Lonchura striata: one gene and its partners. The protein of the gene in region 1 purifies or fractionates together with the protein of each later gene. This does not show direct contact. Links are inferred from orthologs where the notes say so. Each region holds a gene or a part of one and is shown in the gene's direction. Other genes may lie near its edges.

Region 1 (7,333 bases):
AGAGTGGGAAGAGAAATGTGTCAGTCACACCTTCTACCTTCAGGCAGAAATTCCCAGTAAATCCCACTTACAAAGGTTATTTCCCGCTGTTTCAACACCTTCCACCAGCCCAGCTTGCCCCAAAAGCTCCATCCACCCTTGCCTTGTGTTTTTTGTGTTCCTTTTTCCCCTAAAATACCATTGCATTCAGAGCTGGGATTATCAGGGCACAGCTTTGTCCTACAAATGGAAAAAGCTGAAACCAGAACACTTACCCTGGGTATAAAAAACTCATCAGCACTGAATTTATACAGCCACTCATCCAGGAAGTGGAAGAGAAGAGACAATAGGTCATGCCCTGTGTGGTTGAAGCAGAGATTTGCCTCAGCAAAAAAACATTTTCAACAGCACCTCAGATGTACAGGAGATTCAGATAACCATGCTTAATTATATTTTAATTAACTGCACTAAAGCTATGTGTAAAAATTGAGATTTTTGGTGCTTTTCTCCTTCTCATAACTCTGCATAGAAGAGGTGCAGTCCTCACCTTCTGCCTCTACCTCCACCGTATCCACAGGTTCCACAGTGCCTGTGTCTGTCATGTAGCCAAACATGGCCATGGCACACTGCTCAAAGGCTTCTTCCAAGGTGTCTCCCCAGGCATGGAGCCTAAAAACACATGCAACAATCACTGGAGCCTAAAAACACATGCAACAATCGCTGCAACACAATACTGGATCACAACAAAAAGGAACAGCCCCAAAGTCACATGCAAATGAGCAATTAGAACATTGGAACTCAGGCAGAGGAGGTGAATGAGTAAAAAAAACCACCTGATTTTTCTAGAAGAAGTTTGTCAGAAGAGTTTCTTGGGAGAATGTGGAAAATAAATGTTTTACTAGTTTTCTTTCCTAATGTGACTAAATGGTGTCTATAAAAGTAAACCACACAGAAGAAATTTTGTTTAAAAGGAGATTTCAAAAGACGTTTCCAAATAGCACTGAATGCTAAAAAAGAAACCAAACGTAATTCTATGGTGTCCCAAAAGCAGGAGCAAAACTGACCATATCAAAGCACCCAGTGACATTTCAGAGCTCCACAAGGTGTTACATCTGCAAAGTGTCCTTGGCTGTTACTCCAGGCTTAAAGCAGTGTAAAAAATAATCAATTTGTCACCCTGAGAAATCCCAGCTGCCCACACTTACTGCACATCTGCTGTGTGATCCAAATCTGAGGGGAAGCAAAAAGAAAAGGAATGTCACCAAAAGTATTTATAATATAAGGATTAAAAAAATAACAAAAATATCTGATTTTCTAACAAAACATTTTTACATTCGTCTGCATATATGATAAATCTACTGTAGTATATTAGAAAAATTTAGCACAGGTGGAAATTTGGATATTATTTCTGCCAAAAAACCTGTTTAATGTGATTATGTCAGTGCAGGGTTTGGCTGCTGTAACCCAACAGGCTTCCACAGGTTAACTGCAATAACAAGAAACTTTCACCAGGAGTAAAATGTTTATGCTGAAGTCTGCAGGACTCAAAGTTATTCATGCAGAGGATGAGATTTGCAAATATTTCCAGCTCAGTAAGGAAATCTACCTGTGCACACCCAAAAGCAGCCATTATGCAAAGAGAAGAATTTAAAACAGAGGATGGAATATAAAATAGAAGGCAAACTTTACTCATGGAGCATGATTAACATCCCATGTATCCAGCTGTACGTGAACCTTGTTGATGTTTATTCAAAGAAATTAAAGAAATGAAAATTCTAGCAGAACTAAGTTGGGATGTGAAATAAATGCTCACTTTAACTGAAAAAAAAAAAAAAATTTGGTGCTGTTTAAAGAGATCACGCACTATTAGACAACAGTCTCTAAAGCAAACAAATTCCTTTGGGTGCAAAAGAGGGATAAAAGCTCCTCCAGTTATGGAAACTGTGTGGCTGTTGTGATGTGTCACAATTTCTGCACTTCTAGCAAATAAAGACCTGAACACAGCCTAAAAATAGAAATTCTATCAGAGGTTGGGCTGCCACCCACATCCTCTGAGGAGCCATTCCCGGGGTGGGGAAAGGGAGAGATCTTTAAGGAGAGTAAAAACACCACACACAAAGCCAGCCCACTTTTTAATGTCCCTTCCTACAGGAGAGGTAGAGAAATTGCTAAAAAATGGCTCAGAAGAGGAAAAGTTTTCAGGGTGAGACCTGAGTCATTTATTTCCAGCGTGTTGTTTTTTTTTTTTTTTTCAGTGCCCATAACAAGAAAAATTGTTTATATGAGGGAAAAAAAGAAGAAAATAAAAATAAGAAAAAATGAAGAAGAAAAAGAAGAAAAAATGAAGAAAAAAAGAAAAAGAAAAAATAAAAATAAGAAAAAAATGAAGAAAAAAATAAAAAGAAGAAAATATGAAGAAGAAAAAATATAAAAAGAAGAAAATTAAAAAAGGAATGAGGAAACACATTGAGGAAAAAATGAAGAAAGTAACATGAAGAAAATTGGTTTTTCATTCCTGTATTTCCTGTTATCTTCCTTGCCCTCACAACAGCACTGCCACACGCTGCATCATGATAATATTTTAAAAAAATAAAAATACTCACATTCATATTTCTTGCAGAGAGGGGGGTACTTGTCCTTCACAGCCTTCTGCTCCTGGGTCAGGTTGTAATCCCTGTCCTCGGCTGCCATCGCTGAGGGCTCCCCAGGGATCCCTCCCTTCCTCAGGCTGGGGCAGAGCCAGGAATTCTCCCTCAGTTCCTGCTTTCCTCACAAACCTGTGGAGAACAGGGAGGATTCCGAATTTCAGCTGGTTTGTGTCAGATTGGGAGGGAAGAAATTAAATCCCACACCCATGAAGTGATGTTTGGTCAGGCAGCAGAGCCAAGGGAAAATATTCCTTATAGGAATTGTGGATTTTGGCCTTTTCTGGGAGGAATTCTGTTTTTTTCCTCCTTGTGTACATTGAGCATTCAGTTCATTCACAATTAATAAAATACAGCCCTGATGGGAACTGCTGTGAAGTGAATTAAACTTCCATGCTTTAGGTTAATTTCAATTTTCTAATTAATTCATTTTTTGAGGGTGCTCAGCCCATTGTACACCACACACCTGAAGTGTCACTGCCCCCAAAAACCCCTGATGTGACCTTACAGGTTTTTCCTCAGGAAAAAAATTAAACCTCAAAGCACGTGCATGGTAAATCCAGCTGTCACCCAAGTGCCAGGGGCTTCCTGTGTTCCTTCTCCAGCTGATTTTTTAAATAAAACAAAAAAAAAGAATTGTATCAACTGTAAAAAACTGTATAAAGAAAAGAATTGGGGAAAAAAAAGAACTGTAAAAAAGAAAATGTATCAACTCCCCCATATAAAAGTCAGATCCTCACACCCCAATCTCACAAATTTTATTTTTCCTGTTCTTTTGTAAATTCAACATGAGAGAAACTGATGAACCCAATTAACTTCAGGCTGATTAATTTACCTCTCCAGATTTCCAGATATCACAACGATTCTTTAATATTTTTGTGCATTATAAGAATTATCCTCAGCTGAACCCAGCACTTCCCCAAACACAAATAATTTATAGATATACCTTAACTTTTACACAGGAGTCGCTTCTTACTCCAAAGCTTAGAAACAAGGCTTAAGATTTCCAATTTTTAATTTCAGCTAAAAATCTAAGTGTGTTGGAAAGAGGTGTCTGAAGTTGAGAACTCGAGGTATCCCTTGAGGAATAAACCCAGATACTGATATTTGATTTTAAACCTGTTAAGCCTCACCTGTGGACAGCACAGCAGCCGACCAGAACCAGCAAATGTCACGCCTTTAAAACTCACCGCGGCAGTAAATTGTGGGAAAAGGGAACATATTCGTGATTACAGAGAATTAATAACACGCCGAGGATACCCAATGGTGGCAGGGCGGCCCTGGATGGCGGCCTCGGCCCACACTCGCACCGGTCCGGTCCCGCTGCGATACGCACTTCCCACGTCTGTGGTGACCGGAGGAGCCGCAGCCACCGCTTCTTCCAAACGAGGGACCGGGAACTGGCACCGAACCCGGCGCCCCTCAGCTCGGGGCGCGGCCCCTTTAAGAGCGCTCCTGAGGGCGCTCCGGAAAATGGCGGCTCCCACGGGGAGCCCGCCCACGGGACGGCGGCGCGCGCTCCCCTCCCCGCCCCTTTGCCCTCCGCCGATTGGCCGGCGCCTCCCGGCGGCGGGCGCTGATTGGGCGGCGTTGGCGCGCGAAGGGGTGCGCGGCGCCGGCAGCCGCACGCAGCGGGGGCAGGAAACAATAGACGGAGCCGCGGCCGGAGGGGTCGGAGCAGGGAGCGCAGGGAGCGCAGGAACCGCCCGCCCGCCTCGCCCAGCCTCGCTCCCCGCGCCCCGCCGCGCTCCCCCCCCGCCCCGCCATGGCGGATAAGGAAGGTAAAGGCTCCGTTATGGGCGGCGCGGCCTCCGCCGGGAGGCGCGGGGTTCCCTCCCTCTCCCCCCCCGCAGCTCCGTTACGGCGTGAGGGGAGCGGGGCGGTGCCGCCAGGGGGCGCGCGGGGGCGGGGCCTGAGCGCTCCCCCTCAGGCATGGCCGCCGCCGCTCCCCGCGCCCGCCGCACCGCCCGCGGGCAGCGGCCCGGGCCGGGGCCCTCCGCCCGCCCCTGTGCCCCTCGGAGCGGCTTGTGAGGCCGGGAGAGCCGGGCCGTGCCCTGCGCGGGGAGCGGGCACACGAGGGTGGCACCGGAGGGTGCCCCGGTTGGGCGGGGGTGCCTCCGTTTCATGGGTGAGCTCCGGTCCCGCAGGGGGGTTCTCCCCTCCCGTGGGAGAGCCCCGGTTCTGTGGGGGTGTCCCCCAGTTCCTTGAGGATGTCCCCAGTTCCTTTAGGGTGTCCCCCCCATTCCGTGGGGGTGTCCCCGGTTCCTTGAGGGTGTTCCCCGGTTCCATGGAGGTGTCTCCCTAAAGGACACCCTGAAGGAACTGGGGGACATCCTTGGTTCCATGGGGGTGTCCCCGGTTCCTTGAGGATGTCCCCCGGTTCCTTGGGGGTGTCCCCCATTCCTTGAGGATGTCCCCCGGTTCCTTGGGGGTGTCCCCCATTCCTTGAGGATGTACCCCCGGTTCCTTGGGGGTGTCCCCGATTCCTTGAGGATGTCCCCCGGTTCCTTGGGGGTGTCCCCCATTCCTTGAGGATGTCCCCCGGTTCCTTGGGGGTGTCCCCCATTCCTTGAGGATGTACCCCCGGTTCCTTGGGGGTGTCCCCGATTCCTTGAGGATCTCCCCCGGTTCCTTGGGGGTGTCCCCCATTCCTTGAGGATGTCCCCCGGTTTCTTCAGGATGTACCCCCGGTTCCTTGGGGGTGTCCCCGATTCCTTGGGGGTGTCCCCCGGTACCTTAGGGGTGTCCCCGATTCCTTGAGGTTGTCCCCCAGTTCCTTCAGGATGTGTCCCCGGTTCCTTAAGTATGTACCCCCCGTTCCATGGAGGTGTCCCCCGTTCCATGGGGGTGTCCCCAGTTCCTTTAGGGTGTCCCCGTTCCACGGGTGAGCCCCCCCAGGTCTGCCCGTCACCTTCTCTGCACCGGAGGCTGGTGACAGATAGGCCAAGGAAGTGTTGGAGAGCTACAAGGCAGCAGAAGGAGCCTTGGGAAACTGGATTTTTGGGAGCAAGTAGTTCAAGGCTGCGCCCAGACCGGTCTGTTAAACAGCAGTTGCTGGATCTCCTGTGTTTAAACATCTTTACAAGCCTGGGTTTTGCCTCCCTGTGCTTGAGTCTCAGAATTTTATTGTGCTGCTCTAACAGCATCGTCCTCAAATCATCCCAGAATGGATTTTCCTCTTCTGAGCCATTTCTTAAACTCATCCCATTCCACCCCTGCCATGGCAGGGACACCTTCCACTATCCCAGCTTGCTCCAAGCCCTGTCCAGCCTGCCCTGGGACACTTCTAGGCATGAAATATGACATAGTTAATGTTAATTCCCAGCCATGTATGCATAAAAAAGGATTAGCATGTGCAACAGGGGATTTTTAACCGTTTAGTAACTATTCCAGTAGAGCAAATAGCAAACCAGGGTGTGATTGATGTACTTGACTCTAACCCATTGCCTGCCCACAGCGCTGTATGTCTGTAAATTCATTTACAAATAATTAATTGCATGTATTTCTTGAAAAAACACTTCAGCAGCCTTTGATGATGCAGTGGAAGAGCGTGTGATCAACGAGGAATATAAGATATGGAAAAAGAACACCCCCTTCCTGTATGATCTGGTGATGACCCATGCCCTGGAGTGGCCCAGCTTGACTGCTCAGTGGCTGCCTGATGTCACAAGGTAAAGGGACCCTTCTGCTCTCTTTTTAAAGCAGAACAAGCAGAAAATCCAGGATTGTGCTGGCTTTTAGGTTGAGATCACACAATCCCAAAGTGGTTTGGGCAGGAAAGGACCTTAAAGCTCATCCAAGGACACTTTCCACTATCCCACATTGCTCCAAGCCCTGCCCAACCTGGCCTTGGACAAATTCCCCTGTGCCAGCACCTCCTCATCCTCACAGGGAAGAGATTTGGTGATCCCTGTTTTGTTTCTCTTCCCCTGCAGACCTGAAGGCAAAGATTTCAGCATCCACAGGTTGGTGCTGGGCACCCACACCTCAGATGAACAAAACCACCTGGTGATCGCCAGCGTGCAGCTGCCCAACGACGATGCCCAGTTTGATGCTTCCCACTATGACAGTGAGAAAGGAGGTAAGAGCCCAAAAAAAGGGGAATTTGAACCATTTCCCCTTCCATTTCTCAGTAGGAAATTCTGTCTTTCCCTAAAGTTCAGGCAGCAAAGTTTAGATTTTACTTCTAAAAAAAATTATTTCTAAGTGGTGCCTCCTTAATAGACAAATTCTGTTTCTTGAATGTGTTACTAATCTAATATTTCTGATGATGGAAACAGACAGTAGAGGTTGATTGCAAAAATATTTGTGTGTGGGAAAACCTCTCCCTTCCCTATTTTTCAGGAACTGACCTTGAATCTCACATACTGCTTTTAATTGGTGTTTTTATTACCACATTTGCATTACGCAAAGTCACACGAAACATTTTTACACAAACTCACGTAAAAGAATATTTTTATTTCAGAGGAGTGTTAACATTTCAAACATTCTGTGAGTTCTGCTGCCTGATTGCTGTTCCACAATTATATTTCATTCCATGTATCAGACTTTAATTTGATGCTTTGTAACCTTTGTGGCTGTCTCAAGTTAGACATTTCTCCTGTTTGCTTGGCTGAATCAGTCTTTCCACCAGGTGAAAGTCCTCAATGATCCAATGTTTGCTCTACTTTTTACAGGAAGTTTGGATTGTGCAATGAGTATTTTGCTCT
Region 2 (7,431 bases), on another chromosome or scaffold:
TGAATGAAATGTTCCTGTCCATTTTTCACAGCCAGCAGAGATGAGGCTCCATGTAAGTGCCAAAGAGAAGGACACGGTGACACAGGCAGTTGGCAGCTGCTCCTTCATCTCGGAAGTACAAAGGATCCAAATGATTACCAGTGAATTCCATTTCCCCTATTGTCCTGTCTCCTTGAGCTCTGTCAGCAGCTACCCTCGATGAGAAGAGACTGTGTAGGATTCCCACTCCTCTAATTAAGGTGCTTCACCCTTCCTGTTACTCCTGTTTGAAATAGGATTCATCTCCAGGAACCACAGGTGAGGAAAGGTCACATCTCACCAGTTGGGCACTCTTGATGTGAACAGAGCTTGACTGCAGACGTAGAACAACCTCGGAAACACCACAAGGAACAAAAAAGTTGCTCTGACATATTTATGACTAAAGAGACTTCTGTAATTTCTGTAAAGAGGACTTTAATGAGAAATCCTCAATTACCAAGCTGCCTTACCCACAGCTGAGTTTGGCCTCTCCATCTGTCCTGGCTCCAGGGATGATGCCCATTTTCTCTGAATGGAGAGACCCATGGAGATGCAGTGTGGCTGCCACCAGCACCTGCAGCTGCACAGGCTGCAGGAGGAGGCAGAAACCAGTCAGATTAGGAGATAAAACAGGAAGTACCTTCAGACTCCATTTCCTTACAACTACCAAGTGAGATCTCAGCAGTGACACGGTGCCAGTCCTTCACCCCAAGGGCTCACAATTACCATTCTTTTAAAGCAACCCCAACTCTGGAAATCTATTTCAATCAATTCTCCATATGGACATTAGATTAAGCCCCATTTATTGACTTCATCTCATGTTCACAAGAAATGCAGCACATAATTGACTTTTCAGCTTGCAGGGCAGAATTCTGGGGCACATGAGACTGCAGTGAGCTTTCCCAAATGCTCATCCCTAAACCCAAAAAAATGAGCTCTGTGCTCATAGGGCCACAGAAATCAGTTACCAGCATTACAGGAAGGACTGGTGATTCTCTCACCCTAAATTAATTTTCTGTAATATTTCACTAACAAATATCAATCCAGCTTAAATATAATTAACATCTGTTGTAAGAGCATTACTTTCCTAATCTGTTAGAGGAGCAGTGAGTTTGCAGCACACAAGCACGACCCAGATTCAGTTGATTTGCCTGAATCCCTCTGCATTACTCACATCCAGTGGTTTTCACTGGTTACACTTTTTCCTTTTAACTTAGAAAGCCTTGAACATTCTCCACCAGCAGATCATGCCTAGAAAATGCTGACTGGAGGATTTATTAGCAGTGTGTAAAGCTGTGAACACTAAACCTGACTCGGGGAGGTTTGGTGGCCCTGCCCAGGGTCACAGGAAGCCGCTGTCACTGTGGCAGGCAGAGGAAGCCACTGTGACTGCAGCTGGGCTTGAGCAGGGCAGCAGAGCTCTGTGTCCCTGCAGCAGAGCCTGCAAAGGCTGCAGTGAGGATATAAACCTCATCCTGGAATGTGGGGAGCCCCAGAGCCTCAGTGGGGCAGGCTGAGAACCTCCTCCCTAAAGCTCCTCCATCCCAGTGCAGGTATCAGGACAGGGATCTGCTGTCCCACCAAGACAAAGAGTCCCTGTAAATCCTCCAGAGCCCTGTGTGCCCACACTGAGATGGACCAGCTGCAGCAAGGACAGCTCAGGCCACCTGGACCTCTGCAGCCCCTGGGATAGCAGCAGCTCCACGAGTTCCAGCCACTGGGCAGTTCCAGGGGCAGCTCCTCGTGGAGCCTGCTAACACAGCTTTGCTCCAAGGAAGCTGGGGGAAGCTGCAGTCATGGGTTTGGCTTCACTGCAAGCCTGGTTACTGTCCATTTATGAATATTGCTCCTTAAAGCCCTGCACTGGGCCGTGCCTCTTTCATGGCACTGCATTTCCAGGGAACTGGATGCCCAGAGAGTGATGTTCCCACTGTCCAGCAGCTAAAATCTCCACACCCACACCCCATTAGTTATCACCTGAAGTAATAACGTAGTTATTACTCAGACCTGCTGGGACTAGCCACACTTCAGAGTGGAGTTTCATGACAGAACAAATCAATATCACTAATGCTGAGTTTAGAGGTTCCTCACGTCCCACACAAACAATTCCCTCCCTGTGGGTGCTGTGCACAAACTCCAGCTGGATCTGCTGCTTCCCTGCATCCCCCTCACTCTCTCCACCCAAACTCAGCTTCCTCAGCTGCCCATCCCAACAATTTACTGCAACACATCTTTATGGAGCTCAGCATTTTTCCTGCCTTCATTTTAATTGTTTTATTCCCCCCGATTGTCTCTGTTCCTCTCTGTAATTTATAGTTTCTTCTCTCCATTTCTGTCCTTCCTGCCACTTGCTGAACACAGAGAGACTTGGTTTAATTTACAGAGAGTGTGGTACTGCAATCTGTTTCATTAACTTAATTAGTTTTATTTTGGCAGTTTCTAAAGGTTCCAGGATAGAAAAAAAGGCTCCAACTATGCAGTCACTCTGCAGACCAGCCACTGTAAGGCAAATCCTATCTTAAGGAGATTACAGGTTAGATTTGAAATAAATAGAAAATAAATAGTGATCAAAGGTATTTGGGATGGGAAAAATTATATAGTGAGGGCTTTTTTGTTAAATTTACGAGTACCATCCTGCATCCACATGCCTGTGTTGGTGAGGTTGAATTTTAGAGTTACCTATGGTACAGTATTTCTGTGTGGCATTATTCTGGGCTGTAAATGTCCTAATTTACCTCTTTTTAAAAGCACACACAGCACTTTTCAACATTCAAAGGAGCCGTTTATGTTTTATTTTGATCCCTCAGTAGGGTCAAGCACATAATCTGCTGTTACTGCAGTGAAGCAGAGAACAAGCCATACACCCACTCTGTTCCCTTCGGAGCACAGGAATTGCTGGGATCTCCAGGGGATGTAAAACACAACAATTTGCATTTGAATGCCTTCCACAAGCAACACCTGCTGAAAAGGTGCGTTCCAGCAGACTTGCAAGAAGAAAATCTTCCATTTTATGCCCATCCTTTCCATAAATCCCAGCTTAACATAACAAAGAGCCTGCTGGGCTCAGCTGTTGGATCTGCGCATCCCATCAGCTCCAGGGCTGAGTAGTTTTAGTTTCTTTCTGTGTTAGTTGGGAATTTCTGGTAGGCTCAGGATTTATGGCCCCGTTCTCTGCTCAGCAGCCACAAGGAAGGGAGCAGGGGCTGAGTGTCCTGAGCGCACAGAACAGAAATACCATGACAAGATAAAACCCCTCTGCTCTGTAGCCAAGGCCACGTCCCTTCTGGCCCCCTGCCCCAAAGGTGGCTGGAAAAGTCTGGTTTTGCAGAACGGGTTTTTGCAGACTGGGCTTTTGCAGCCCGAGCTCTGCCATATCCTGAGGGGCAGGACCCGAGCGCTGCCCCGGGCTGGACGGGGCTCGGGCCAGCAGGAGGAAATCTTTAACTCGTTTTCTTTTCTCCCCTTCGACTCCACGTTTGCACCTGATGTGTCTAATGAGGCGCTTAACACTTTAAAATGCCGATTTGCCTCACAAAAGGCAACAGTCCCTTTGCCTTGCCCTCCTCAGGGGAGGAACAGGAGGGTCAGACATTGATCTGTGCTGAGCAGGGACAGGAGCCAGGGAAGGGCTGTGCCAGGGCAGCTCAGGGTGGATTTTGGGAAAGGTTTTTCCCCAGAGGGTGCTGGCACTGCCCAGATCCCCAGGGAATGGGAATGGGCATGGCCCCGAGGCTGCCAGAGCTCCAGGAGGGCTTGGACAGCGCTCCAGGGATGCCAGGGTGGGATGGTCTGGGGTCTGTGCAGGGCCAGGGGGTTGAACTGGATGATCCTGTGGGTCCCCTCCAGCTCCGCGTATTCCCCTCTCCCCGCGTCACCCCCTCAGTGCTCCCCAGCACGGAGACCAGCCGCTCCCCTGCCCGCGCTGCACAACGCAGGAGGCAGCGCCGGGCCGTGGCCCGCGGGGGAGCCGCTGCAGGGCGATCCCATGGTGGGGTGACCTGGCCACTCTGAGGGGGGACGTGATCCCTCTGAGGGGCGACCCGGCCCCGTGCCCGCCCCCGCCATCTTCCCCCGCGCGCTGCCCGGCGCCGCTTCCCGCCCCGCGACGGACACTTGGCGCCGCCAATCACCGGCCTCCCTCGGGAGCGACGCCTCTCTCCGCCAATCAGATAGCGAAGCGGCCCCACTAGCCCCACCCCCGTAGCCTCTAAAGCGTTAGACCACGCCCCCTCTTCCCCTTCCTGGCTCTGCACTGAATGAAGCCCCCGCTGACCAACGAGAAGTTCCCGCGGAGCTGGATGGACAGGCGGCCTGCCCAATAGAAGCGCATCATTGCGGCGCACCCGCCAATAGGGTGCCGTCTGCGGGCGCGGGGGGCGGGCTCTCCCTCCCCGCGGGCCGTGGCCGTCGCTCCCGCTGCTGGAGGGAGGCGGCGGAGAAAATGGCGGCCATGGCTGCGGAGGCGGCGGCGACTGCGGCGGTGCCGGGGGACGGCGGGGCCGGCGAGGCCGAGCCCGAGATGGAGCCGATCCCGGGCAGCGAGGCCGGCGCGGACCCTCTACCCGCCGTCAGCGAGGCCGTGGAGTCGGCGGTGCCGGATGGCGAGGAGGCCGACGGCGGCAAGGCCGAGGAGCCGCCGCCGGTGCAGCGCGCCCGCAGCCCCGGCGGGACTCGCGAGCCGGACGCGGGGAGGACGGAGGAGCCGCCGCGCAGCCCGGGGGTGGAATCGCCGCGGGCCGAGCCCCGCGCAGCGGCGCCCAGCCCGGGCTGCTCGGAGCCGCCGCAGCCCTGCCCGCCGCCCGAGCCGGCCCGGGAGCCGCCGCAGCCCTGCCCGCCGGCTGCCGGGGGCTCCGCGGGGCCCGGGGAGGAGCCGCCCCGGCCGGAGGAGGAGGAGCCGGATGCTGCCGCCGCCGCCGCGCCGGAGCCCGAGCCGGCGGTGCCCGCGGCCCCGGGCGGAGGGGAGGCGGAGGTGCCGGCGCTGCTGCCCGGCTCCGAGGTGCGGGTCACCCTGGACCACATCATCGAGGACGCCCTGGTGGTCTCGTTCCGGCTGGGAGAGAAGCTTTTTTCCGGGGTCCTCATGGACCTCTCGAAAAGGTGAGAGCTCGGGGGGAGCCCAGCCCGAGCCCCGCACCCAGCGCCGAGCCCGGGAGCGCTCCCGGAGCCGCCGGGGGCGGGATGGGGGCGGCCCCGCCGGGAGCCTTGTGGGCTCTGCAGCTTCGCTCCCATCCCATCCCATCCCATCCCATCCCATCCCATCCCATCCCATCCCATCCCATCCCATCCCATCCCTCCTCGGCCCCTGTCCTCCCCGGGCCGAGCAGCTCCTGCCCCCGCGTCCTCCCCGGGAAGCGGACCCGCAGCTCCTGAGCATCCTCTTCCTCCTCTTCCTCCTCCTGGACCCTTCCAGCCGGGGGTGGGCAGGACCCCCTCGGGTTGGGAGAGGCAGGAGAGGGGCGAGCACATGGGCACAGCCTTTGGGCTTGGCCGGGGCTGCAGCAGCATCCCTGTGTGCCGGGAGCAGCGCCCGAGCGCTGAGCGTGGCGTTTATTCCCCTCTTTGTACACAATCAGAAATCTGATTGCCCTCTTCCTTCGCCCTTACATTGCCTAGGTAACCTTCTTTTTCCGGAATAATGGTTTTCCAGCTAGGCTGTTGTAGTTGTTAATTAGTACTGATTGCTCCTTGTACGCAATGAACGGGGTGAAGTTTCATGGTTCTTAAATAGCCTTGTGGACGGGGGGGATTTTAACGTATCTCTGAATAAGTTACCAGACAGCAGGGTTTGGGGTTTGCTTTTTTTCATTGCCTTTCAATATGAGAAGCTCTTGGGAGACCAGAAATCATGGTATCTTACAAACAATCCAGGTTCTATCAGCAGGTGAAAATACTTCTTCGTCTTAGTGTTTTTTTTCTAGACGTGTAAGGACTCTGCAAGTTCATGAGAGAAGAGTGAAATTTAAGCAAGGTTATTATTTAAAATAATCGGTATGCAAAATATGCAGCAATTTTCTCCCCCAGATTTAAGCTGTGTGGGGATATATATCTTTTATCACTCCTTTTATGTTGTTAGTAGCTGTTCAGGAACTTCGTGGAATATTAATATTGTCGGTGCTCTCTAAAAGGAGGATTGTGAGGATCAGCACTTCTGGCTGTGAGGCTGGGATTTGATACAAAAGGCCTTGTCTGACCCCCAAGTTTTGGATAATGTCAGGGAGTGACGTTTTCAGTCTGCCACTTGATGAGGTGTGAAACGCTGAGCAAAAACTCCAGCCACTTAGTGGGGTGAAACAGTGTCTCAGATCCGGGCAGGAGGTGACACAAATAAGATGTAATCCTGGGTAGCACGGATTCTTTTGTAGGTTTGAAGTTGTCCCAGCAGAATGCCATGGTTGCCCTGGGCTGGAGGGTGACAAAGCCTCTGTTTCCAGGAGTGCAGGAGAATACCAGCTTCTCCTTTTCTCCTGAAAGGGATCTTGTCCTCCTAAACACACCCTGGCCACAATCACCCCACGTTTTCCCAGGCTCTTGTGCACTGAGGAGCCTCTGGCAGGCAGCAGATCTGCAGCCCTTTGCAGCAAAAGTCTTTTTGCAGGCTGGCTGCTGCTGCTGTGCCTTGGTGGGAGCATCTCCAGCCTCCCTGGGTCCAAGCCCAGCTCCTGGGACAAAGCTGTGCAGGGGGAGCTGTGGAAAAGCCATCCAGGGAGGCTGGGGCTGGCCCTCCCAGCTTCTCTTGGCAGTGGAGCTATTCCTGCCTTCAGAGATGCTTCTGCATGGAAATCCAGGAGGGGAAATTTAAATTCTCAAGGCTGAGCTCTGCGGAGGGCCTGGACAAGAACTGAGTTTTGAGACAGAAGGGCTGTATTCATGGGCTGGTGACAGCAAAACGTTGGTAGATAACAGGGGTGTCTCTTATCAGTTGTCTCAGAGCAGGAAATGCAGTGAGAAACAAGGTCTAGAAATACTCCAAGAACTTCCTACCGCTAAGAAATGGAAGCATTATTTAAAAAAGTGTTGCCTGTATGTCCAGCAATTCCATTTTATCACTTCTATGGTGACTAACAGGTGATGTTGTCTAGGTGTCAGCTTTTCCTTATATCTGCTTATTTGTGTTTGCTGTAGCAGCACCTGGACTTGCAGAACATGAATATTTTTTCACAAACTTCCTTCTGTGTCTGTGGTAGGCCCTGGAATTCTTGTCATAAGTTTTTCCAGTGGACCAAAAAAAAAAAAAAAAAGAAGGGCAGGACTAAATGAAAACCACCTAAATTCCATGCATTTGCATGACAACAGTGGGATTTCCAGCATGGGAGATGGGTGGTTGCTGAAATCTGTCTCATTCATATGCATGGGAATAATCTCAATTTTCCTAATGCCAAAGGGATCAATATTTTAAGACTGACAGTTCTTACT
Region 3 (7,457 bases), on another chromosome or scaffold:
GATGAGGATAATCCACACAGAAGTGTTGGCCAGGCTTCTTGCCTGCCTTGGTGCTTCCTACCTGGAGCTCGTGGGGTGGCTGTGGAGCAGTGCCTGAGCTGCTGCAGGGTCTGTCCCTACCCTGTGCTCATCCCACTGTGTGGAGTTCTTCACAGGGCTGTGTGTAGGATCTCACCTCTCCTCAAAGGTAGGATCATTCCTGGGGCAGATACAACCCAACAATATTTCTAATTATCCCTCTGTTATGAATGAGATGCAAGAAACACGATAAACAGGAAGGAAGAATTGATTGTGTTCTTCTGAGGAAGAACAGACAATCTTGTGTCCCTCATCCACAGGAAAGTGATGTGAGGACTGTTCTTTGGGATGCATATCCTGGATAATGAACCTGCCCCTGCCAGAAATCAAATTCCAGATGCACAGCCTGTGATCCATGGCAGCAGAAACAGCACAGGTTCCTTTTTCAAATTTCCACACACCTCACCTCAGCTATCAAGAAAGAGTGGGGCTCACAAAAGGAGGGATTTTCCCTGCAAGAAGCACAATAAATTTGGAGGAGAAAAGCCCAGTTTCTGTAGGAGCCCAGCCTGGAGACAAAGGCAGGAGGAAGGTGCTGTGCCTTTGTGCTGTCCATGCCCTGGCCCCATTGGCAGCTGCTTCCACAAATGAGGAGAAAGTGGGTCATTTAGTCGCCAGGACAACAACAGCACACACTGACCTAGATATGTCTGCAGGAACCTAATCTTGCTCCTGGCACAGACCACGGGGTTCAGACAGGACCTGGGGTTCCAGCTGGGGAAACACAGCACATAAACAAGCTCAAAAATGTCCTTTTTCTGTCTGTGGCAGCAAGAGCAGCCTCTCCTGCCTCTCTGTGTGTCACAGCGATGGCACTTGGTCCTGATTGCCAGCTGCTGGTGGCAGCTTCCCAGGATGGCTCTGTGATTGTCTGGAATATGGAAGTTTTTGAGATGCTGCATGCCCTTCCTGGGCACTCTGCTGAGCCTTCTCCAATTTTTGGGGCTGGAAGGCTGCTTTCATGCCTCAGAAGAGCTGTGTCAGCATGGCAGTCCTGGATCTTTAGGCACACAGACATCTCCCAGCCATGTTGTTGCAAAACAACAGAGAAGCCCTCGTTCTGTGAGCCCCTCTCTTACTTAGCTGAGGCGAGGTGTGTGAAAGTGTTTGAAAAAGGAACCTGTGGTGTTTCTGTCATGGACCACAGGCTAAACATCTGGAATTTGATTTCTGGCAGAGGTAGGTTCATTATCCAGAATATGCATCCCAAAGAACAGTCCTCACATCACCTTCCTGTGGATGAGGGACACAGGATTGTCTGTTCTTCCTCAGGTACAAAGGTACCTGTCAGTCTTTAGCTTAAAGGGGCTGAAAGAACCACAGATTTGCAGCCACAACCTTGAAGGTTGCAGCTTGTGACAGGTGAAAACTTGAAATATGAATAATAAGCCATTTCCCAAGTAAGGAAGCCAATCCTGAGCCCATCTGAGGGCAGACAGAGTAGGGGCAGTCTCTCAGATTTCCCTGTTTCACAGGTGAAGGGTGTGACACAATGCACACACCTGCCTGAGTGAGATGCTTGGAAATATCCGAGCAAAGCCAGCTCCTTTTCCCGGGACAAAGCCCTTGTCTTCCCACTGAACTGCAGGCAGGATGTCACTGTTGTTATACGTGTACATGATAATTCATGTACACATATAATGTGTACATGACATAAATAAATAATACATGACAATAAATAAAATTGTCGTATATTTTATAATTATATACTGTTAAGACAAACTCTAGTAAGTTTTTAAGCGACAGGGAATGCAACACAAGATGGAGACCACCCAGACAAGGGAGGGAGGACTTAATTTACAAGCAAATGAACGTGGCCAGCCCGGAGATGGATCATCCATAAGGTGGCCTGAGGCGATAAATACTCGATAAATATCTGAGACTAAGATAGCCAGAGCCATCAGGGAGATACATCTCAATAAGAATTCCAGGAATTGGATCACTCTCAGATATGTATTGTTCAATTTGCCACAGAGAAAAGAACTCCACATGAATACTTGCAGTCCGAAAAGGAAGAAAAGGGACTCTGCCTCGGGCAAGAAATATCGTTTAAAAATGGTCAGATGGGACAGTCGGTGTGAAGCATCCTCTGCCACAGCAGTCAAAGCTGTGTCAGACCCGAGCTCGGCACCGACCCTTTTTTTTTGATAGTGGCTTTTCGTTGTTATTCTCTAAATTTATATTTGGAACATTTAATACATTTTCTTTAATTATTAAATTGGAGTTTTCATTTATAACAAGTGTCATCCTTCCTCCAGAGCCACAATCAAGAGGCAGGAGGAGCAGTTTGCCACAGGCCGGGATGATTTATTCCTAACAGATCCACAGGCCCAGGCACACCATCAGAACCCAGATCCCGGATTTCCTTGGAGATCACAGGGATTCAGTCCTTAGGAGTGCCCTGGGGCCCAAGGGCTCCCTTTGGAAGGTCACAGATCTCCTGCTTGGCAGCTCTCTTGGAGCTCTGTCAGCAGCAACTTGAGCTGAGCTATTCTGAGACACCAGGAGCTGAGTGTCAATGGTTAATGGACATCCAGCTCCCAGGATTCCCAAGAACACCCAAATCCTGACAAAATGTCAGGCACATTTTCCCAGCACCCAGGGCTGGTCTGGGAGCATCCTCACAGCTGGATTCACCAGTCAGTGTTGGTGCTGGCAGGGGCTGAGGGCTGGGAACTGTGCTCTGGCAGAAAACAGAACTCACAGGTGTTACCTGCAGCTGGTTCTGCTCATGTCACCACATGGCACAAACCAGGGAAGAGGATGAGACTTCTCAAGTTAATAATAGTAACAGAAAACAGAATTTGGGCCAGCTCAGGAGAATCCAGGAGGAAAAAATAAAAGAGGTGCAGGGGGTTGGATCAATGATTTTCTTTTGCCTGACAACACACCAAAGATATCTCTGAGCTACTCCTTTCCACAGGTGGAATAAAGGTCTTTACGTTCCCTACCAGGCTCTTTCCTGCACAGCTATGAGTGCTTCATAACCTAGGAGTTGTATTTGGCTCCCACCACTCTTCCAGTATTACTCCTGTAAAAATCTGTATTTATTATCTCTATTCTTAAGCACTGAATAACCACTGAAAACTCTAAAACATCTCCAACCTGTATTTACCAGCACAACAATCTAATGCCATTTTCAGCCCACATCTCTCCTGAAAGGCCTTTGCAGTGCCTGCTTCTCCAAAGATGATAAATACTTGTATGCTGGGTCACTGAATCAATCCACCAGTCTGGCTGCTGAAAGCAGTAACTGTGAAAGAAAAAGTCTTTATTAATTAAATCCTTCCTGTATGAAGGGAAATGGGTCACAGGGCAGCAGTTTGTGCAAGTATCAGAACAGGGGATGGAATATCACATCCAGAGGCCGTGTGTGAGCATCCTGCCTGAAAGCTGCAAACAGCTGGAATACTCCAGCACAACATAGAGAAAAATATTCTGAGCTCAAATACCAGCAGCAAGTTTAAAGGCAAAGCAAGAAAGGCTTCTCTGCACTTTTCTATGATGCAAATCATCTGTAATGCTTTAAAGAAAAACAAATCACACGGCTTTATTTTTCCCCCTCTCCTCTTTGCTCTTCATGTAACTCAGTTTTACTGAGTTCAAATTGCCTGCTGACAGGAACTGCTGGGGGAAGTGGCATATTTTAAGCCTACATTTACCCTGCTACCCCAGAGCAACCCTTGAGCTCAGGGCACACCATTGAGGGGCTCCCCGGGCTCTCCAGCCCCTCCAGCTCCCCCAACCCCCCCATGACTCTCCCAAACCCCCTCATGGCTCTTCTCACCCCGGCTCCTCCACACCCCCTGCCTCTTCCAGCCCCTGGGGCTCCCCCAGCCCTCGTTCCTCAGGCTCCCCACAGGCCCCACCAGCTCCCCCGGCCTTCCCCAGCCACCCCTGGGCTCCTCCAGCCCCGTCTGAGTCTCTCCAACACCCCTCGGCTCCCTCAGCCCCGCAGCACCAGTCGCCGTTTCTCCAGCCCCGGCAGTTCCAGTGCTCAGCCCGCGGCTCCTGCAGACTCCCAAAGATCCCAGGGATCCCGCAGCCCCCCGGGCTCCTCCAGCAGCTCCCCCTGGGCCCCGGAGGCCCCTGAGGAGGTCCCTGAGGCGCTGCTGAGGCGCTGCTGAGGCGCCGCTCCCGCCGCTCGCTCGAACGGCCGGAAGCGGCGCTGGGGGCGTGGCCTGCACGGATGAGGGCGTGGCCACACCCTGTGGGCGGTGAGGGGGCGTGGTCTATGGCGGGGCGTGGCCAATCAGAGGGCGGAGGCACGGAGGGGGCGGGTCTCGCTGCGGAGGGGGCGTGGCCTGGGCCGTGCGCGCTGACGCAGCGGCGGCGCGCGCCGCCGGGGCCGCGCTCGCCCGCCCGACTCCAACATGGCGGCGGGGGGCGGCGGCGGCCGCGGGGCCGGCGGGGGCAGCGCCCCGCGCTGGGGCGGCGGCGGCGGCCGGGCCGCGCCGCACGAGAAGCTGCCGGTGCACGTGAGTGCGGGGGCCGCCATCGCCCCTTCCCCACCCTCCCCCGCCCCCGCGAATGGCCGCTCCTCGCCCCCCCCGGGACGGCCCCGCCCGCCCCCGCCGTGACCTGCCCCGTCCCGGCTGCGGTGCCGAACTCGCCCCTCAGGGCTTGTCCCTCACCCGCCGGTATCGGGGGGTGTCCCGGGGGCTCGTCCCCCTCGCGCCGGGGGCATCCCCGCCTTCCTCCGCTGGTTCCGTGGGGTCCCCTGGGGCTGCATCCCCTTCCCCCGGTTCCGTGTCCTGTTCCCCCGGTACCGTGAGGGCTCCCCGGGCCTGTTCCCCCCTCGCCTGGGCCCTGCCCCTCTCCCCGGCCCTGCTGTTCCTCTCAGGTACTGCGGTCATCCTCCCCAGGGACCTGTTCCCGGCTCCCCGGTGCCGTGCCCCCCTCCGTGCCGTGCCACCCCCGGGCACGGGCAGCCCGCCGGGGCCTGCCGTCCTCCGGTACCGAGTGCCCTCCGCCGCTGCTGCGGGGCTCCCCCGGCGCCGGTTCCCACCCCCTTGAGGGTGTCTTGAGGTGCCCCCGCCCCAGTTCTGGTGCCGTGGGGGCTCCGGGGCCTGTTCCCCACCATGTTCTCACCCCGCAGGTGGAGGATGCGCTGTCCTACCTGGACCAGGTGAAGATCCGCTTTGGCAGCGACCCTGCCACCTACAACGGCTTCCTGGAGATCATGAAGGAGTTCAAGAGCCAGAGGTAAAGCCAAGGTCCTTCACCCCAGGGTGCTCTAAGGACCTCATCAGCATTTCACAGAGGCCCGAACATCCTGAGCTGGGAGGGACCCCCAGGGATCATCAGCCCAGCCCCTGTCCCTGCCCAGACCCCCCAACAGCCCCACCCTGAGCAGCCCTGAGAGCGCTGTCCAAACGCTCCTGCAGCTCTGGCAGCCTCGGGGCCGGGACCATTCCCTGGGGAGCCTGGGCAGTGCCAGCACCCTCGGGGGGAAGAACCTTTCCCTGAGCTCCATGCCAAGGCCTGGCACAGCTCCAGCCCTTCCCTAAGGTCTCAGCCTTTGTGGGGTCTCTCTGCCTTTGCAGAGCCCCCCAGCCTTCACCCCATCATTCCTCCTCTGCACACTCACTGCCCTGTTCCCCAGTGGTGCAGTTCTGTGAAGCTGGAGTACTTCTGCCCATCCCATAATTTTCCAGAGGTGAAATGCACAGGAAAAAGCAAATCTGCTTTTGCTTTCCACTCTGAAACGCAGATCTGGGAAATAAGTGAAGCAACCTGAACAGAACCTGTGACCTGCAAGCTCTGGAGGTGCTGGCTGTCTGTCCTGTCCCTTTGCCAACCTGCACACTCATCTCTCCTCCCCAAGGATAACACTCCCAGGGTGAAGCTGCAGTGGTCATTCCCTCTAATTTGGCTAATTGTTTTTTTAAATAATTGCACCCCTAATTTACTAGATACTTCACATTTCTCTTGGCAGTTTCTGGGCTTAACTTGTGTTTCTGATTTGGATAATAAGTAACAAGCGCCTCTCAATTTTAGCATTGACACACCTGGAGTCATCCGACGTGTTTCTCAGCTTTTCCATGAGCATCCCGACCTCATTGTAGGATTCAATGCATTTCTTCCTCTGGGCTACAGGATAGAAATTCCAAAGAATGGGAAATTAAGTATACAGTCACCTTTGAATAGTCAGGTAGGTCACAGAACTCTTATCCTCTAAATAAACTGTTCCATGTGTCACTGGACATGTCTGCACAGTTTAGGCTGTGGAGATTTATGTATAGTGCTTGTTGCTGATGTTTTTAAAGCCTTTTTAATGGGTGTAATATAAATGTAAATGTTTATGCAAAGAATCATAGAATGCTTTGGATTGCAAGGGGCCTTAAAAATCACCTAGTTCCAACCTCCAATTTATTCTCAAACCAGGTAGTTTGACTTACACAGGAATGATGATTCTGCATGGAAACACCATTTCAACACCAAATATTTCAGTCGTGTTTGGAAACTGAAACTGGAATTGGCTTGACATTGTTCCCAGTATGGGTTGTGGGTAGTGGCAAATTTCAAGGGGTGATCCTGGAAGAATTGCACTTCCAGTCTTCCACTGAGAAACCAGGAAACTTGCTTAGGAAACAGGCAAAAGAACTGTGAAATCATTGAGTTGTTGACATTGGGAAAGGTCTTTAAGATCATGGAATCCCCATCAGATACTGTTGGTGTGAGACCCACTTGCTGGGATACAGATGGATGTCGCCCCTGCTTGATTTTTGTTATTACTGTGTGGAGCTGAAATACAGCCATAAACTGAATTCTGCTGATAAACTTGTGGTGTAAGTCTAGTTAGCAGCAGGAACAACCTTTTAAATCTCAGCTCCCTCAGATCCCTGTGTTGCTTAGGAATTAACACCTGTAAGGGCTGTATGTTTAATATGCCCCTTAAAACTGGCAGCTCCTCTGCAATAACCAGTGTAGCAGAACCTGCAGTGGTGTTTGGTGCAGCCTCTCAGTTGAGGCCAATAAGGCTGTGACAGCCACAAATCAGGTGGTTCTTACACCAGGGAGAACTTCAGGCATTATTTTAACTGATGGAGTTAATAAACCAGGTAGGGAAATTGATTGGTGACTGAACTCCTTTTTCTTCCTTCTTCACGTGACATTATTTTTCAGCTGGAGACTTGCCAGCACTGCTGCTGGGCTGTTGTTCAGCTGGTCCCTGATCTTTTTCCAACCCATCTCGTGTGTCCTGTGCCCCCAGGTGCCCCCAGAGCCCGTCCCCAGTGCACTCCCTGGCAGTGGGCTGGTCTTGCACTACTCCCAGGAGAACTCCCACAACCACAGCGACTGCTCTGAGGAGTTTCGGCAGCAGCTTCCCTACAAAGAAGATAAATCACAAATTCCCTTGGAATCTGATTCCGTGG
Region 4 (6,902 bases), on another chromosome or scaffold:
GGGGATTTGGGGCCCTCGTGGTGTCACACAGGGCTTTTGGGGGAGAATTTTGGGGGAATTTGTAAAAATTTGGGGTTCTTGTGGTGTCACACGAGGTTTTGGGTGGAATTTGGGGGGATTTTGGGGTTCTGGGGGTGTAACACGGGATTTTGGGGGGGGAATTTGTGAAAATTTGGGATTCTTGTGGTGCCACATGAAGTTTTGGGGAGATTTTGGGGGGATTTGGGGCTTCTTGGGGTGTCACATGAGGTTTTTGGGGAGAATTTGGGGGGATTTGTGAAAATTTGGGGTTCTTGTGGTGTCACAAGAGATTTTGGGTGGAATTTGGGGGTCCTGGGGGTGTCACACGAGGTTTTGGGGGAGAATTTGTGAGGATTTGGAGTTCTTGTGGTGTCACAAAAGGTTTTGGGTGGAATTTGGGGGGATTTGGGGGTTCTGGGGGTGTCACACGAGATTTTGGGTGGAATTTGGGGGGATTTGAGGGTTCTGGGGGTGTCACACGAGATTTTGGGGAAAATTTGGGGAAAATTTGTGAGAATTTGGGGTTCTTTTGGGGGGATTTGGGGTTCTTGTGGTACCACACGATGTTTTGGGGGGATTTGGGGGTTCTGGGGGTGTCACACGAGGTTTTGGGTGGATTTTGGGGGATTTGGGTGTTCCTTGTTCTGAGTGACAACAACCAGGAACAGCTTTTGGGTTAAAAACCCAAATAGGGTAAAACCCCCAAACTTGGAGTGGTTTTTACCCCATTTCCCATCATTTTTGGGGTAAAAAGGCCCCAGAAAGGAAGGGGAAGGAAAAAAAAGGCAGCAAACTCCAGAGGTGGGGTAGGGGCAGGCACAGCCTGGGGGGTTTGGGGTGATTTTGGAGCATTTTGGGCAACTTCACCCCTAAAAACCATCACTGAGGACAAACTCCTCCATTTCACCTCTGGGTTTTTTTGGGGGGAGGATTTGGCCTGGATTTGGGGGAACTTTAAACCCTTTTTTCTCCCCTTTTTAATATTTTCTTTCTCCTTTTTCAATTTCTCCCCCTTTTTTCAATATTTGTTCTCTTTCCACCTTTTTTTCCCTCCCCTTTTCCTAATTTCCCCCTTTTCCCCCCTTTTTTTTTTAACACTTTCTTCTCTTTTTGGAATCTTTCCCCATCACTTTAACTCTTTCCAAATCTTTTCTTTTTTGATTTTTGCCCACTTTTAAAATACTTTTCCCCTTTCTAAAGTATTTTTCTGTGTTTAGTATTTGTCCCTCTTTTGAATCTTTTTCCCATTTTTTATCTCCCCCCTTTAATACTTTTCCCTTTCTTTCAGTATTTCCCCCCTTTTTTAATCCTTCTTTTCCTTTTTCAATTTTTAAATCTTTTTCAGTTTTTTACATTTTAAATTTTCTTTCATTTTCTCTGTCTTTTCATTCTTTTTCTCTTTTATTCTTCCCCTTTTCCAAACTTTTTTCCTTTTTAAATAGCTTTTCCCTTTCCATCCTTTTTTGTTCTTAAATGTTTTTCATTTTATTATTTCTCCATTTTTCAATACTTCTAGTGACTTTTGTTCCTTTTTGAATATTTTTCTCAATTTCAACATTTTAAAACTTTCATCCTTTTAAATATTTTTCTGCTTCCACCCTTTTTGAGTATTTTCTTCCTTTTTCAATTTTTCCCTTTATAATTTCTTCCCTTTCCCGTCCTTTTCCAATCTTCTTCCCTTTTGCAATGTTTTAAAAAATATTTTTTCTTTCAACCTTTTCTCTTTTCTAACCATTTGTCCCTTTCTCAACATTTTTCTTTTTGCATCTTTTAAAATCCTTTTCCCTTTCCCAATATTTTTTATTCCTTTCATTATTTTCCCTTTCCAAGCTTTTTTCCTTTTCCAATCTTTTCCCCCTTTTCAATCCTTTTTCCCTTTCTCAGTTTTTTCCCTTTTCAATTTTTCCCCTTTTTAATCTTTTTCCTTTTCCATTTTCCCCCTTTTCAATCTTTTTTATTCCTTTTCAATCTTTTCCCCCTTTCCCAACCTTTTTTAATCCCACCTCTATCTTTCCAACCCCTTCCTCAACCTTTTTTTTTTTAAACCTTATAACCCCCCCTTTTTTTTTGTTCTTCCTCCGTTGCAGCCTTAAAGAAACTCCAAAAAAAGAAAAAAAAAAAAAAAACACCCAAAAGAAAAAAAAACCCCAACAACCCCAAAACCCAACCCACCAAACCACTCCCTTCCCAAGTATTTCAAAGTCGAGGAGGGAGGGAGAAAGAACAAAAAAAATAAAAAAAAATTTGCTTTTTAATTTTTTTTTTTTTAGTGCGTGTTTAAAATCACCGAGGGAGGGGGGAGGAATGGGCAAAAAAAAAAAGGGGGGGGGAAGGGTAAAAATCCTTTAAAAAATGAAAAGGGAAGCGTGACGAGTATGGAACTAGTTAACCTTTAACAATTTATGCTGATGTCACACTGAGCATGAGTACTGATTAATCCCCCCCCGAAATATTTTTATGGGAGTGAGGGGGGGGGGGGGGGAAGAATAAGGAGAAAGAGAAGAAAAAAAAAAAAGCAGAAAAAAAAAAAAAGAAATAATTTACCGCAGCCATCTTTGTTTTATGCAGAAAAATCTCCGGCTTCGGGTCCCCCCCGGCTGGGGCCACACAAATATTTGTCCCTCGCCGAGCCGGGATCTTCGGGAGGGGGAAAAGCAAAATAATATCATTAATGAGGCCCCAAAAGCGACCAAAAATACCCTAAAATGAGCAGGATGAGGATTATTCGCCTGCTCGGGCAGTAACGGCGAAGGCTGGGGGGGGGTGGGGTGGGGGGAGCTTTGGGATTTATTATTTTTCAGGGGTTTCGTGCTTTTTGATTTTTTTTTTTTTTTGTATTTTTAAGGATTTTTCGTGGCTTTTGTTTCTAATTTTTTAATTTTTTTTTTTTTTTTTACGTCGCGCGGTTGATTTTTAAGGTTTTTTGGCGCTTTTTTTTTTTTTTGATGTTTATTTTTACCCTTTTCAGCCCTTTCTGGTTTTTGTTTATTTTTAACCTTTTTTCCATTCCCTTCCCTTTTTAAATATTAATGTTTATTTTTGACTCTCCTCTTTTGCCATATCAATTTTAAGCTCGATTGTCCCTTTTCTTCCCATTCCTTCCCCATTTTAAATTTTAATGCCGATTTTTACCCCTTTTTGCCTCTCCTTCCTGCCCCTTTCCATTTTTCCACCTCATTTTGTCATTTCACCCTCCCTTTCCCCTCCAATTTAACTCCTTTTCAATTCTCCCCTTTATTTCCTTCATTCTTTTCCCTGAACGCTTCCCTTTCCTCCTTTTTTTTTTTTTTCCCCTAAAATATTAATTTCAATTTTTTTTCCCCTTCCTTAATTCCCCTCCCCCTTTCGCGGGTTGGGTTTTATCGCTTTTTTGTGCGTTTTTGAGGCTTTTCCCCCCTCTTTTTCACCCTCTTTCCTCCCTTAAGGTGCGTGTGGGGCAACTTTAAAAAAAAACCCTCATTCGGCCATTTTGCGCTTTTTTTTTCCCTCAAGAAGAGGGGGGGGGCACCACCCCCCCATTTCCCTCATTTTTAACCCCTCCCTCCTCCATATTTTTTTACGCCTTTCCCCCCCCTTTACCGGGGTGTGTTTTTTATTATTATATATATTTTTTTCTCTTCTTTTTTTTTTTTTTTTTTTGTGTGTGTGTGTGTTGAAAGGGGGGGGGGGGTTTATTTTAAAATTACACCCGGGGCGGCCATTTTCGCTGCCGGCGCCGTCCCGCCGCCCGGCGCCTCCCGCGCCCTGAGGCGATTTTAACCGATCCGGGCGTTTTTCAACCCATCGCCGCCGCCCCCCCCGCGCCCCCCGCGCGGCCCCGCCGGGCCCGGCCCGGGGGGGGTCGCCCCGTCCCGCCCCCTCCCCACTTTCCCCTCACACCGAGCCCCCCCGGCCTCGGCGGCGGGGGCGGTTTGGGGCGGTGGGAGCGGCGCACGCCGAGGGTCCCCCCGGCCCCCCGCCCCTCAGCCGGCCATGGCGTCCCCGCTGAGGGAGGACGAGGAGGAGGAGGAGGAGATGGCGGTGTCCGAGGGGGACGAGGAGGACGACGACGAGGAGGACGACGAGGAAGAGGAGGAGGAAGACGCCGCCGCCGCCGCCGCCGCTGCCGCCGCGCTCTTGGCCGGGCACCGAGGGCCCCCCGACATCTTCGCCGGGCCGGCCCCGGCCCCGCTCCCGCCGCCGCCGCCGCCGCCCCCCGCGCCCGCCGCGCCCGGACCGCCGGAGGCGCCCGCAGGTACCGCCGGGACCCCCGAGTGACCGCCCCGAGCCCCTCGGAGATTCCCCGAGTGACCGCCGGGACCCCCAGAGTGACCACCCCGAGCCCCCCGAGGGACCGCCCCGAGCTCTCCGAGTGACCATCCCGAGCCCCTCGGAGATTCCCCGAGTGACCGCCCCGAGCCCCCCGAGTGACCACCCCGAGCCCCTCAGAGCTTAGCGGAGTGACCACCCCGAGCCCCTCAGAGTGACCACCCCGAGCCCCTCAGAGTGACCGCCCCGAGCCCCTCAGAGCTTAGCGGAGTGACCGCCCCGAGCCCCTCAGAGTGACCACCCCGAGCCCCTCGGAGTGACCACCCCGAGCCCCTCAGAGCTTCCCCGAGGTACCGCCGGGACCCCCCGAGTGACCACCCCGAACCTCTCAGACCTTCCCCGAGTGACCACCCCGAACCCCTCAGACCTTCCCCGAGTGACCACCCCGAACCCCTCAGAGATTCCCCGAGTGACCACCCCGAACCCCTCAGAGATTCCCGCAGTTACCGGGAGCCCCGAGCCCCTCAGCGCTTCCCGGGGGTACCGGAACCCCCGAGCTCGCCGCCACTCGAGCCCGGCGCTTCCCGGGGGTACCGGGACCCCCCAAGCGTCCCCCCGAGCTCGCCGCCACTCGAGCCCGGCGCTTCCCGGGGCCGCCCCCCGAGCTCCCCCTTCCCGCTCCCTCAGCGCTTCCCGGAGGCGCCCGCAGCCACCGAGCCCCCCCGGTCCTCACCCGTCCCCTCAGATCCTCCCGCAGGTACCGAGCCCCCCCGGTCCTCACCCGTCCCCTCAGATCCTCCCGCAGCCACCGAGCCCCGCTGTCCCCTCAGCTCCTCCCGGAGCTTCCCGCCGGTACCGGGACCCCCGAGACCCCCGGTCTGCCCCCACTCCCTCAGAGATTCCCGGGGCCGCCACAGCTGCCGAGGCTCCCCGAGCCCCACTGTCCCCTCAGCGCTTCCCGCCGGTACCGGGACCCCCTGAGCCCTTTGAGCTCCATTTTCCCCTCGGCGCTTCCCGCCGGTACCGGGACACCCTGAGCCCTTTGAGCCCAAATCTCCCCTCAGCGCTTCCCGCCGGTACCGGGACCCTCCTGAGCCTCAATTTCCCCTCAGTGCTTCCCGCCGGTACCCAGACCTCCTTGAGCTCCATTTTCCCCTCAGCGCTTCCCCCCGATACCGGGACCTCTTGAGCTCCATTTTCCCCTCGGCGCTTCCCGGCGGTACCGGGGGTGGGCTGCGAGGGGAGGGAGGTGTTTGTAAACAACCGCGAGTGTCACCGCGGGTGTCACCGTGCGGCCACCCGTGTGTGGGGACATCTCTGGCCGCACACCGGCCCTGAGGGGACACGGTGGTGGCGGGGGCTGGTGGTGCCCTGCCAGGACCCAAAGTGGGAGCTGAGCCCATCGTGTGGGGTGACAGGGGTTGGATGTCCCCTGACAGGACCCAAAGTGGCTCTGACCCCATCGTGTGGGGTGACGGGGGCTGGATGTCCCCTGCCAGGACCCAAAGTGGGCACTGACCCGTCATGTGGGGTGATGGGGGCTGGTGGTGCCCTGCCAGGACCCAAAGTGGGTGCTGACCCATCATGTGGGGTGATGGGGGCTGGCAGTGCCCTGCCAGGACCCAAACTGGGCTCTGACCCCATCGTGTGGGGTGACGGGGCTGGTGGTGTCCTGCCAGGACCCAAAGTGGCTCTGACCCCATCATGTGGGGTGACAGGGGCTGGTGGTGCCCTGCCAGGACCCAAACTGGGCTCTGACCCCATCATGTGGGGTGATGGGGGCTGGTGGTGCCCTGCCAGGACCCAAAGTGGCTCTGACCCCATCGTGTGGGGTGACAGGGGCTGGCAGTGCCCTGCCAGGACCCAAAGTGGCTCTGACCCCATCATGTGGGGTGACAGGGGCTGGTGGTGCCCTGCCAGGACCCAAACTGGGCTCTGACCCCATCATGTGGGGTGATGGGGGCTGGTGGTGCCCTGCCAGGACCCAAAGTGGGCACTGACCCCGTCATGTGGGGTGACAGGGGCTGGATGTCCCCTGCCAGGACCCAAAGTGGGCTCTGACCCCATCGTGTGGGGTGATGGGGCTGGCAGTGCCCTGCCAGGACCCAAAGTGGTGCTGACCCATTGTGTGCGGTGATGGGGGCTGGTGGTGTCCTGCCAGGACCCAAAGTGGGCTCTGACCCGTCATGTGGGGTGACAGGGGTTGGATGTCCCCTGCCAGGACCCAAACTGGGCGCTGACCCCATCGTGTGGGGTGATGGGGGCTGGTGGTGCCCTGGCAGGACCCAAAGTGGGAGCTGAGCCCATCGTGTGGGGTGACAGGGGTTGGATGTCCCCTGCCAGGACCCAAAGTGGGCTCTGACCTGTCATGTGAGGTGACAGGGGCTGGATGTCCCCTGCCAGGACCCAAAGTGGGCTCTGACCTGTCATGTGGGGTGACAGGGGCTGGATGTCCCCTGCCAGGACCCAAAGTGGGAGCTGACCCCATCGTGTGGGGTGAGGGGTGTTGCTGTGCATCTGCCAGGACCCAGAGTGGCTGTTTTGCGGAGTGTTGGGGGCTGTAGGTACCTGACAGGACCCAGGTCGGCTGTTGCACCCCATATTGAGGTGTTTGGTTGCTGATTCTCCCCTTC

The links.
Region 2: the proteins of RBBP4 (region 1) and PWWP2A purify together in Homo sapiens (affinity purification with mass spectrometry; 4 studies listed by BioGRID and IntAct, with this or other methods). This does not show direct contact. The link is inferred for Lonchura striata from reciprocal best matches to the Homo sapiens genes RBBP4 and PWWP2A.
Region 3: the proteins of RBBP4 (region 1) and SIN3B purify together in Homo sapiens (affinity purification with mass spectrometry; 4 studies listed by BioGRID and IntAct, with this or other methods). This does not show direct contact. The link is inferred for Lonchura striata from reciprocal best matches to the Homo sapiens genes RBBP4 and SIN3B.
Region 4: the proteins of RBBP4 (region 1) and CHD3 purify together in Homo sapiens (affinity purification with mass spectrometry; 9 studies listed by BioGRID and IntAct, with this or other methods). This does not show direct contact. The link is inferred for Lonchura striata from reciprocal best matches to the Homo sapiens genes RBBP4 and CHD3.

The regions. Positions count from the first base shown.
Region 1 is NC_134628.1:930,436-937,768, reverse strand, and holds the start of RBBP4 (histone-binding protein RBBP4), read left to right. Parts: upstream 1-4,314; 5' UTR 4,315-4,389; coding exon 4,390-4,405; intron 4,406-6,147; coding exon 6,148-6,295; intron 6,296-6,559; coding exon 6,560-6,705; intron 6,706-7,333. Other genes in the region: ZBTB8OS (protein archease), read right to left, coding at 255-337, 527-648, 1,185-1,209, 2,583-2,670. UniProt on the Homo sapiens protein: Core histone-binding subunit that may target chromatin assembly factors, chromatin remodeling factors and histone deacetylases to their histone substrates in a manner that is regulated by nucleosomal DNA.
Region 2 is NC_134617.1:1,276,037-1,283,467, forward strand, and holds the start of PWWP2A (PWWP domain-containing protein 2A), read left to right. Parts: upstream 1-4,425; 5' UTR 4,426-4,459; coding exon 4,460-5,115; intron 5,116-7,431. UniProt on the Homo sapiens protein: Chromatin-binding protein that acts as an adapter between distinct nucleosome components (H3K36me3 or H2A.Z) and chromatin-modifying complexes, contributing to the regulation of the levels of histone acetylation at actively transcribed genes.
Region 3 is NC_134630.1:3,955,820-3,963,276, reverse strand, and holds the start of SIN3B (paired amphipathic helix protein Sin3b), read left to right. Parts: upstream 1-4,451; coding exon 4,452-4,556; intron 4,557-5,176; coding exon 5,177-5,283; intron 5,284-6,078; coding exon 6,079-6,232; intron 6,233-7,294; coding exon 7,295-7,457.
Region 4 is NC_134636.1:1,912,587-1,919,488, reverse strand, and holds the start of CHD3 (chromodomain-helicase-DNA-binding protein 3), read left to right. Parts: upstream 1-3,891; 5' UTR 3,892-3,993; coding exon 3,994-4,255; intron 4,256-6,902.